Nothobranchius furzeri: one gene and its partner. The protein of the gene in region 1 binds, or shares a complex with, the protein of each later gene. Links are inferred from orthologs where the notes say so. Each region holds a gene or a part of one and is shown on either strand. Other genes may lie near its edges.

Region 1 (5,760 bases):
TTATACTGTAATAATTTAGGCTGCGTGTTTATGGTTTATTTTAGCGTCTTTAAATCATGCTTCAGTCCATTCACATGAATCTATTTCTGCTTGAATGTCTTTCCACCATCATGTGATTAATTTGTCAACATTTATAAATGCTGTAAGCTATTGTATTTAGCAGAAAATATTTGTAATTAAAGTAGTGATTAAATGTAAACACAGCAAATAAGAGACACATTTTTGCTGTTTACATAGTTTGATGACACCTAGTGGTTATTTACTGGTACTACCGCCTTGACAATGGCACTCCCACTCGATGAGGATCATTTATTAGCATTTAATACAGCTGTGTAATGACGTATGAATTATTAATATCAAAACATTGTCTGATATGTTTAACATGCAACACATGACTTATTCTGGCACACAAACAACTAACTGGTAACCAAACACTAGGCTGTGTAACATGTGAACGAACTTTTATCAGTACCTTTGTTAAGTTTCAGATTTCACTGGGGGTGGGGGGGGGGGGGGGAATGCAGCCTGCCTAGTGTAGTCCATTTATTTAATCCAGCTCGGTGTAAAGCACTTTGGGGGGTTCCATGACTAGCAGGTGCTACATCATTTACCGTGTGTGTGTGTGTGTGTAGATGGATGTAAGGGTGTGTGTGTGTGTGTGTAGATGGATGTAAGGGTGTGTGTAGATGCATCCATCTACACACACCCTTACATCCATCTACACACACACACACACACACCCACACCCTTACATCCATCTACACACACACACACACACACCTCTGATTCTGAATGTAACCATCAGCTGGGGGGGGGGGGGGCCTCCTCCTCCTAATGAGACAGAAACAGCTCACCCGTCATTCACCACTGGGAGACTAGTTAGTCGGGTTAACAGCTGAACGGGTCTCCTGGGTGGAGCAGGTGCTTTACTGATCCCCCCCCCCCCCCCCCCCCCCCGAGCATGAACGTATTAAAAATTCACCAAAGCATCAGCAGAAAAACTAAATATTCACTTTATTTAGGGAATGAATGTAAAACATTTAGAATCAGGTTACATCTGACCAGGTCCTGGTCCAGGTCCACACCCAGACCCACACCCCGGTCCAGGTCCCGGTCCAGACCCGGACCCATCAGTCTTCATGCCTCCAAATATTCTTTATGTACACGATGAGCAGGAATTTCCCCGCCAGTGTTTCCAGGATCAGCTGGAGAACACCTTGGAGTTCATCCTGAGACGCTGATCCAGGACCAGCAGGACCAGCTCCTCTCAGTGGTCCAAGAAGCTGAAGATGCTCCTCTGGGAGCTCTCGGTCTCTCTGCAGATCCTCTTGGCTGATGGACTCGCCACCTCTGCCTGACTCCGCCTCTTCATCACCTGAAGACCAAACATTCAGAGCAGTTTTTACTTCCTGCAGCTCTGGTTCTGGTTCTGGTGCAGGTAGCGGACCAGGAGCGCCCCCTGCAGGAGCAGAGGAGCTCTTCGCTAACGTGTGTGACTGGGTCCTCCTGAATGTTCTGCTGGGTTTCCTGTTTGGCTCTAGAACCTTCAGGGACATTCCAGTAGGGACGGACCACGCCCTTTATGACATCACCACGACTCACCTGTTTCTGCGGTGCGTTCGACGGCTGGCCCACCTTCTCAGGTGAGAGCGTCTGAAACAGGAAGCCCCGGCTGTTCCTGGGCGCCAGCAAGTTCCCGTCGGAGATGGAGGCCAGCTTCTGGAGGACGGCCTGAGGCTGGCTCAGGAGAGAACCCCTCCTCACCTGGAACAGAGCCACAGTCAGAACCTTCTGCAGCCCAGGGTAGACCTCTAAACGCCACACCTGAGACGCACCTGTGGGGGCCCAGAGGGTCTCTGGAAAGGATTCAGAGCCGAGGTGGACTTTTGTTCTGGTTGTGGTCCTGCAGGAGGTTCTGGTTCCAGCAGGTAGACAGTTCAGTTAGCAACCCGGGCTAATCCGGACCACGCTAATGAAACACCTGAGGGTGACACACCTGTTCTCTGCAGGGTTCTGGCCGTTAGCTTCTGGGCTAGCTTCATGAAGCGACTGTCTTCGCCTCCCAACTCCTCGTCCTCGTCCCGCCCTTTCCTGCTTTCCTGCTCCGACTGACAGGAAGCAGACAAACAAATGAAGACGGAACAAACACCGACGGGATCCTTCCCGGCGGGAATCACCTGCTCTCGGAGCCACTGCTCTCTCTCCAGCCGGTCCTTCCTCCTCTGAACCTCGCTCACGTCTACGTCCTCCTCTTCGTCCCCGTCCTCGTTCCCGCCGGGGCCCGCCCCGTCCCCGCCGAAGACATCGTCTGGGTGAGAGGGAAAACCCGATCAGCTATCACGCCGAAGGTCAGAATCTGGACGGGACCCGCCGACGCCGGCGCTCTTCCTGGATCGGCTCACCGATGTTTCTCCAGCGGAAGCGGCGAGCTCGGCCCGGGCCATCGGAGTGCAAGTCCCCGTCGGCCAGGTACTGCTCCTGGTACAGCCGCAGGCGCCGCTTGTCATCATCCAAGAGCTGCTTCCTGTGGAACGGAACCCCAAAGAACCATAGGAACCTTCTAGAACCTTATGGGCCATTCCCATCAGTACCGGGTCGGCCCGGGCCGGGTAGCCCCAGTTGGCCCCAGCCTGGCCCGGTTGATTCCACACATCCTTGCCTTAAGCCCATGTGGGCTGATTCTAGCCACCAATCAGAGGCTTGCTCTAATGGAAGGTGTGAATTTGCTGTCAGCAGTGGGTGTGTTGGCCCTGGTCGGCCTGAAGCAGACCCCCTCCAGAAGAGGGCTGAGAATGAGCCTTGGTTGGCCCGGAACAATACCAGGCCACCCAGATATGTAACAACCTACGCTACCCGGCCCGGGCCGACCCGGTACCGATGGGAATGGCCCACTAGAGGCACTCACATGTGGATCTTGTTGACTTGGTTCTGCAGCTCCTCATCAGAGGGAAGTTCTTCCAGAAGCTCCTCCTCCTCATACTCACTCCCACCACCATCATCATCCTCATCATCACTGCCCAGGTCGCTGCCTGACAGCTCCGCCTCTGAATCCACGTAGTCCATCAGCGTTCTGCAAAGGAACCAGAACCGGACCCGGAGAGACCAGCTTCAGAACCAGGAAGTTCCAACGACAACTTCCTGTTTAAATTACGCTTAAGAGACGTTTTACATTTTCTTCTTCTTCTGGAGTCGATGTGTGAAAACCACCTGCTCCTCTTCCTCCTGCACACACACACACACGCATAAACACACGTGCACACACACACACACACACACACACACACACGCATAAACACACGTGCACACACACACACACACACGCATAAACACACGTGCACACACACACACACACACGCATAAACACACGCGCGCGCACACACACACACACACACACACGCATAAACACACGTGCACACACACACACACACACGCATAAACACACGTGCACACACACACACACACACGCATAAACACACGCGCGCGCACACACACACACACACACACACGCATAAACACACGTGCACACACACACACACACACGCATAAACACACGTGCACACACACACACACACACGCATAAACACACGCGCGCACACGCATAAACACACGCGCGCGCACACACACACGCACACACACACACACGCATAAACACACGCGCGCACACGCATAAACACACGCGCGCGCACACACGCACACACACACGTTTCAGGATCTGACTCCAGATCAGCAGGATGGTTTAGATTATTTTACCTTCTCACTCTCTACGTCTGACAGAAGGTGGAACTCGCAGTCGTCCTCCTCCTGCTCCTGCTCCTCCTCCTCCTGCTGCTCCTGCTCCTGCTCCTCCTCCTCCTGCTCCTCCTCCTGCTCCTCCTCCTCCTGCTCCTGCTCCTCCTGCTCCTCCTCCTCCTGCTCCTCCTCCGTTTTTGTCCTTTCAAAATAAAAACACAGTCAGCACTGCACCGCCGCCGGTTTGGACGGGAACGATAAAGATGCCGAACCTGTTCTCAGCTGACGAAGTCGTCGGAACCGAATCTGAAACAAAAGGATAAAAGTAATAAATAATCTCTGTAGCTCCGCCCCCTCCTGCCAACCACTCCGGTACTTCCTACCAGCTTCGGTGAATTCTCCAGAACCCAGACCCATCAGCTGATCCGTGGTACCGTGGAGTTCCTCACGCCGCCCCTCCTGGGTCTGTGGGAAGGCTCCGGAGCACAATCCCAGCAGCTCGTCCTGCTGCGTAGTCCCACGGTGCTGGTCCTCATCGAACCCCCCCGAGCACAGCCCCAGCAGCTCCCCCATGTTGGCGTCCATGGCGTTCTCATCCAGGCTGTCCAGGACCAGCTTCCTCTTGTGGGACCGCGGTGCTCCGGGTCGAGGACCCACGTTTAGGAAGCCGTCTGCGTCTAAGAGCTGGGAGTGGGCGTCGTCCTCCAGGGAGAAGCGTCCCTGCGAGTCTCCGCCCAGACCGGGACCAGAAGCTGCTCCTCCCATGGGTCCAGAGTCGGCTCCGGGGGACGGGGGGGCGTACAGATCCTGGGAGTCCTCCACCGGGAGGCACAGGGACGGTTCTGAGAGTCGGCCAGAGCTCTGAGCAAAACCAAGAGGAACACTGATGTTATCAGGAAGCACGTTTCTGGTGATGGACACGTCTCCAAGTCCACATCTGTGGACGTCTTCACTTCCACTTCCTACATGAAATCCCTTCAGACCCATCAGGTGTGTCACCCAGACCTGCCAAACACACGTGTGGCGCTTCTTCTCCGTGATGTCCACATCCTCTAGCAGGAAACATCTGGATGCATTAAACAGTAAAAGTCGCGTGAGCTTTACGCGCCGATGGTTACTTTCATAGGAATATTTCACTGCCTGATGTATGGAAATGGTTGGAGAACGTAACGATGAACCCGAGCACACCACCGGGGCGGACTCATGCAGGTTCTGGTGGCTCGTGTCAGCACAACTGCACGGTGAGGTAGTTTAGAGGGTCGCAAGCATGGCCACCATTTTTAAATCACACGGTTTTACTGGTTCATTTGGCTAATTGTTGTATTTATTCATTCTTCCTGTTTGTTTTTGTTTGTTTTGTACAAAACTGGATGGGTTCTTTTTCAAGTTTCCAACATGGAAAGCTTCATCCCTCCTCCTGCTTCTTTATCTGCTCTCATTACACAACCATGTATGTGATGGGCGACCGTATAACTGTTAACTAAACATAACCGGTTACCAACTCCATAACCCTAACCCCTACTGGAGGTTTCACACTCAGCGGCTGTCTGGGTTCAGCTGCTGCAGAACCACCTGGTTCAGGTCTGAAGAGCCCAGTCAGCCGGTTCTGATAGTTTTATCTTGCTAACAGATAAATGTTCACACCTGTGAGGTGATCCATGAGCAGGGTTGGCACCCATCACTACAACTACTGAATTAGCTCCAGTCTCAAATGCTGATGTGCACAAACCAATGTTTCAGTGCAGTTCTGTGGTGAGGGCAGAGGGCAGAGGGCTAGGGTTAACCCCAGCCCTAGCCAGGTTGTAGTGAGCACGCTCGTTTTACCGCTGGCGCGCTGCAGACAGGTGGAGAACCGGGCTTCAACACCAGAACCGAGCAGAATAGTGGCGTAACGCTACCGCGTCCGTTACACGTTACGTAACACTACCGCGTCCGTTACACGTTACGTAACGCTACCGCGCCTGTTACGGGTGACGTAACGCTACCGCGCCTGTTACGGGTGACGTAACGCTACCGCGCCTGTTACGGGTG
Region 2 (5,704 bases), on another chromosome or scaffold:
TGTATTTTCTTCCAGGGAGGAAGGTAGGTTTTTTTCTGAAGCCAGTCTGAAAACTCCTGACAGGTCTCGGACGGCTGATCCCAGGGCAGCTCTAACAACAGCACATGTTCTGTTAGCTCTTCACATCATACCGCTTGTGTTTCTGTTTAATTCTAATACATCATGCTAGTGTCAAATAAATGTATTAAAGGCATTTTCTTAATCTATAATAGTTTAATGGTCATTACAAAACAAGTTTAGGAAGTTCTTTGAACTAAATCTGTCTCACATAAAGAGATCTCAACAGTTTTGAGCTAGTTTTTGAAGGGCTCTACTCAGTACTTGGACCGGTGCAGCTCAGCCCAACCACGTTTTCCAAAGGAAAGGGTTCAGTACTTTCCCTCTACTTTTCCCAGTATTTAGTCCCTGTTCCATTTAGGTACCTGTCAAGGCTGAGTCGGGCCAGCATCGCTACTGTGGCCACTAATTGACTAGGGGGCGGAGTCACTGGGTGCTCCAGAAATTTCTGCCTGCTGCCGTTTTCTGGTTCAGATTCTGACAGAAATCCATAAAACTGAGCAGAATGTCCAACAACATCACCCTTTCTGTGCCGAGTTGTGTTTCTGTGTAACATACAGATCACTTTGCACCTATGAGGGGTGCAAGCACACTCTGTCATAGAGCTGGCATGGAAACACTCAGGTGAGCCGACTTAACCCACACTGTACAGAGCTGTTTTAGGCTGAGTAGTGGTGTCCTTCGAACACTAGTTTTATTGTTGACAGTTTCAGTACCTTCCAGAATGAGCCATTTTAGGACTCTGTCACTTTAAGAAAACAAGCAGTTGCTGGTCACACCCACCCACCCCCCACTCAGGTTGCTATAAGCTGAGAAGCTCTGACAGCCAGAAGATGCTCGGAGTAGAGCCCTGCACCCCTGGTAGCAGCTCTTTAGCACGTGAGAGACAGTTTACTTCTACTTTCCCCATTTGTGACATCACAAACAGGGACTTTCTGAAACGGCTTGTTTTAGGCACATAAAACCTAAAAACCACACGAACAGAAAACAGATGGATGGATTTTTTTTCCATGTTTGGAGAGTTTACAGAGCCAGTCGAGACCCACATGGTAGCACAAAAGTTCGATTTTGCATAATATGTCGCCTTTAAGTTATTAATTCAAATTATGAAAGTATAGAGCATTGATCGGGATGATTAGTCTGTTACACTAAAACCCCCTGAAAGACAGCGGGTGCCTGGACCGTGTGGGATCTCACCTCCAGCTAGCATGGCCGTCAGGACGATGCCACAAGCCCAGATGTCTGCAGGCTGAGCACTATACTCTGATTGGCTGAGAAGTTCTGGAGCAACGTAGGGAAGAGTCCCACAGAGTCGGTTCAGCTGGCGCTCACGTCCTTTGAACCGAAACATGGTGGCTAGGCCAAAATCAGTCAGCTTTAAGTTGTCTAAAGGTTAGAAGATAAAAAAAAATGATGCATGGTTATGAGAAATCATTAAAAAAAAACTGTGGCACTCTATTTGCCCACCTTTGTCATCCAGCAAAATGTTTTCGGGCTTTATGTCTCTGTGGGTGATGCCAAGGCTGTGGAGGTACTCCTGAGAAGAAGCAAATAAAAGAATAAAAAAAGAGCCCGAATCAGGCAAACAACACAAACATTCACCCACCACAGCTGACATTAGCTGCTGGAAAAACCTGTGAGCATCCCTCTCTGGCATTCCCACATCAGGCTCTAAAACACCAGAAAGACAAGAACTCGAGTTAGGCAGGAACTAGTTAAGATAATAAACTGATCTGCACTTCACAGACACCAACAGTCTGCTGCAAAAATACAGTTTTATCAGAGAGCCCGCAGTGTTTTACCGATCCGGTCAAACAGCTCTCCTCCGGTGCAGTACTCCAGAAACAGATAAACAGTCGCTCCTTCTTTCCGATGCCCAAAAAACTTCACAATGTTGGGATGGTTGAGCATCTGACAAAGAACAAGGTTGTATTTTTAATCACTGATTAGGGCTGCACGATATTAGGAAAACATGCAATGTCCGATAGTGATTAATATTGCGATGATGATATTACTTGCAATAAATAATAACTTAACTCAGGAACTAAAATAATAAAAAAAAATATATATATAAATAAATTTTAAAAATGACAAAAAATTTCTTCAAAATGACAAAAGCAAAAGATGTGAAGAAAAGACAATCAGTGGAACCCGGGAAAAGCAGAATCAGCAAAAAGAGCAGAAAAAAGCTAACTTAAGGTGTTTGCTAACCATCAAAATTAAGTGCCGTCCGCCTCGGGGGCGGGCATCTAACCTATGAGAACCCATCCAATTGGCCAAATGGGTGAAAAGCTGTTTTATTTGTTAAAAAAACATCACACTTCCGTTTGATTGACAGAACGCATTATGTGTAGCAAACATTTGACCCGGACCCGAATAAGCGGAGGAAGATGAAGACGAAACATTTGAGCTGACCATTCATTGCAATATTTATCTGTTCTTTGCGATATGCATATTGCACATGCTGATATCGCGATAACGATATATTTACGATATATTGTGCGGCCCTATCACTGATTTCAAACGTTGAACCAGCACACTTTGTTTATTTCTAAAATCAGAACAGAAGTGTTTGACTTAAAAATCCTCAGAAGAAGGTAAATGTGTTTTCTGCAGCTCAGTAAGACAGGTACCTTATGGACGCAGACCTCCTTTTTCACGTTGTCTGCACACTCTTTAGACTGAGAGGTATCGACGACTTTCACTGCCACTGCCTCTTCAGTGTGTCTGTTCACCAGCAGCCTCACTCTGAAAGAGCATGGTTCAGAACAAAAAGAGAAATAAATCAGAATTTCTATAAGAAAGAAAATAGAACAGACTTTTGGAGTAAAACAAAAACTAGAAACGCACCGGAACCGGACAAATGTCAGCCTGATTAGCTAAACTGGTGATTGACCAACCCAAAACTCTACTTTTCGGATGAGTGAACGCAATAGAAATGACTGGTCCATGAACTCACCATCAGCCCTTTTCTTTAAGATCAGTAAATGCCGCAGATATCGGCCTACAAAATCACAACCGGTGCACATCTGATAAAGGTGATGTTTTTTTTTTTTCCTATTTTTACTTCACCCTGTGTCTTAATGATTTTTAGCTGTTATTTTTGGGAATTTTGTTGTATTTCCTTTTTATCTTTTATCTGTGTTCGACATGTTTATATAACGCCTGTTTAATTAACCAACATTTTTAGTGTACAGCGCCTTGTTTGGTTGTAATGCCTTGTGAATGCGCTTTATAAATAAAATTGGATTGGATGGTGTGAATTACAACGTGCATTTAACCAGAACTTAATTATTAAACAAAAGTAGCTTGAGTAAAGAAAAACGCAGCTCGACTTTAACCTGCATTAAGGTTTGGTGCAGCATTTAGCCCAGCAGCTACTGAACTATATATATGATGTTCTTACTCTCCATATGCTCCTTCTCCCAGAGTCTGAACGAGGTCCCAGTCCTGGACAAAAGGCACCGCCATGATGCTTCAGTAAACACAAAACACACAACACGTATGTAACGTGTATAAAAAAAACTCATCATTAAAGACAAACAGCGCCAAACTTTAACGTTTGCAGGATGTGAAGCAGCGCTAATGTCACGATGCCTCCATATCTGTTCAGCGATGATTCATGTGACTGTCTTACCTCCACCGCCTTTTCCCTGAGCTGCGTTTCCCACATGTGACGAGTCACAAAACACATTTATTCTAACTCCGCCATGGATGTGCATCTGTGATAAAGGGGCACAAATTTGGCGCCTTGTTGTTTTACCGGAGACATTGCGTCATTTCCTCTTTTTCTTCTACGCTTTTGCAGGAAACCTACAGCAAGCGCACACTTCCGCCCCCCTCTGGTGAAATAGTACACAGCACCCAATCATCCACCTGGTTCTCCCTGAGCTGTTCAAAGATTAATGAATGAAAGCCGCTGCTGCCTGCACACAAAGGACTGTAGGTCAAAGCATACTCAGCACAGGACATGCAGATATACATTTTACAGACCACACTTGCATTGTAGGACGTTTTTATCTGCCATGTAGAATAAAATATGCCGCTATAATACCCATTCTGTTGTGCACATTGTCCATGAATTGTCGTATGAATTTCAAAAGTGTGATATGGCGCAACTTTGCACCATTTGTTTATTTATTGTTTGTGACATCACAAACAGGGACTTTTTGAAACAGCTTGTTTTAGGAACATAATTCCTAAAACCAAACACTGACAGTAAATGGATGGAGTGTGATTTTCCAACCTTCTGTTTGAGAAACTGAACAGAAAAATTCTTTGCTAAATCCTGGAGGAATAGAGATCTAGACCGATCCTTTGTGAGTGGATAATTTTTTTGGGAAAAGGGCTCAAAAATGTGTTCAGTCCATGAAATGAAATGTGTTGTTTTTGACAGCTATTATCTAAAAATCTAAGTGTGTAAAATATGTATCAGACGGATGAGCTGTTACCAGGCGTGTCCAGTAGAGAGAGTGAGAGAAAGCATCTCAGAGTTGGAAACCTCAACATCATACATCTGTGTTAAATGTAGATCAGCCACAAGAGACACAAAGATGATATGATGCGCGGTTGAAAACATCCAAGCACCAAACTGAGACAATATCAGTAAAGGATATACTTTTTCTTTCAGTGACTAACCTCTTATTATACATATGAGATTAATCTTCCAGGTGATCAAGAAGAAAATTTACGTAATTACCTGCTTAGCTCATGTAGAATGAGAAGAAAAACAATCGAGATTCCAGTTTGGTTCTTTCTAGTGTTTCATCAATAAATAACTCAACATGTCAACAAAGCTCAAGTGTTTGAGGGTGTGTTAGTGACATTGAGAGGTGGAATGTTATGAAGTGGTTACTTTTAATAAAATTTCAACTAAATATAAAAGTATTCAATAAAAATATGGATTAGCAATGTTATTGAACCTTTAATATTTGATTGATGATGAAACTAGGTACTTTGGATATGCCAGGGAACCAAAACCTTATAATAATTTGACACAGAGGCAAAAATGTAGTTTATAAAAATCTATTTATTACTATATTTCTAATACTAGGATGACGCAGGAGAAATGATTATAAATGGTGATATAACCCTTCCACTGTCTTTACGGGTGACCCCGCGAGGGAAGTTGACTATTGAGCAGGGTTGATGGTTTATCCCTTGAGGTCCATGTAGCAGGGGTGAGGTGGTGCTCACTAGAGCCCTGCACGGAAGCCCTAGGCCCTCGGGTCAGCCCGGCCCGACGGCCCTCAGGCCAGGCTTCGGGCCAACGACTGTGTAATTACCTCGGACACGGGCCGTGCGCCTTTATTTTTAATTGAATTCATTAAAAAAATTGGAACACTTAAACCAGGGGTCGGCAACCTGTTCCCATCAAAGAGCCATTATTACCCGTTTCCCACAGTAAAGAAAACAGTGGGAGCCACAGCAGCAGCGGCGTTGTGGGCGGGGCCTACCCTCAGACAGCAGAGAGCTGCTCACAACAGGTGACAGCAGCCGGTACCGGTCGCTCGTGTACGTCAAAGTTATCTTTCATAAGACGATAATCAATAAAACGATTTATATAAAATGGATCCAGAAGTTGTAGCCCGTCTCTGCCTACAATATTTTGATATTTTTCACCCTGTTGATGGTTTTACTGAGCAGG

What was found.
Region 2: the proteins of claspin (region 1) and chek1 are in contact, whole or in part, in a crystal structure (PDB 7AKO), measured with the Homo sapiens proteins. The link is inferred for Nothobranchius furzeri from reciprocal best matches to the Homo sapiens genes CLSPN and CHEK1. Residues at the interface, in NP_071394.2 of Homo sapiens: Glu938, Leu940, Leu941, Leu943, Cys944, Ser945, Gly946; in NP_001107593.1 of Homo sapiens: Lys53, Lys54, Cys57, Met61, Arg129, Thr153, Val154, Phe155, Arg156, Tyr157, Asn158, Arg160, Glu161, Arg162.

Annotation. Positions count from the first base shown.
Region 1 is NC_091759.1:26,764,123-26,769,882, reverse strand, and holds the end of claspin, read right to left. Parts: intron 4,591-5,760; coding exon 4,113-4,590; intron 4,036-4,112; coding exon 4,002-4,035; intron 3,932-4,001; coding exon 3,751-3,931; intron 3,223-3,750; coding exon 3,170-3,222; intron 3,071-3,169; coding exon 2,906-3,070; intron 2,525-2,905; coding exon 2,403-2,524; intron 2,309-2,402; coding exon 2,178-2,308; intron 2,109-2,177; coding exon 1,997-2,108; intron 1,916-1,996; coding exon 1,836-1,915; intron 1,765-1,835; coding exon 1,603-1,764; intron 1,376-1,602; coding exon 1,268-1,375; 3' UTR 1,133-1,267; downstream 1-1,132.
Region 2 is NC_091750.1:44,930,933-44,936,636, forward strand, and holds the start of chek1 (serine/threonine-protein kinase Chk1), read right to left. Parts: upstream 3,849-5,704; 5' UTR 3,752-3,848; coding exon 3,695-3,751; intron 3,533-3,694; exon of another isoform or gene 3,529-3,532; coding exon of another isoform or gene 3,508-3,528; coding exon 3,464-3,507; intron 2,806-3,463; coding exon 2,691-2,805; intron 1,969-2,690; coding exon 1,860-1,968; intron 1,729-1,859; coding exon 1,664-1,728; intron 1,595-1,663; coding exon 1,525-1,594; intron 1,444-1,524; coding exon 1,255-1,443; intron 92-1,254; coding exon 1-91. UniProt on the Homo sapiens protein: Serine/threonine-protein kinase which is required for checkpoint-mediated cell cycle arrest and activation of DNA repair in response to the presence of DNA damage or unreplicated DNA.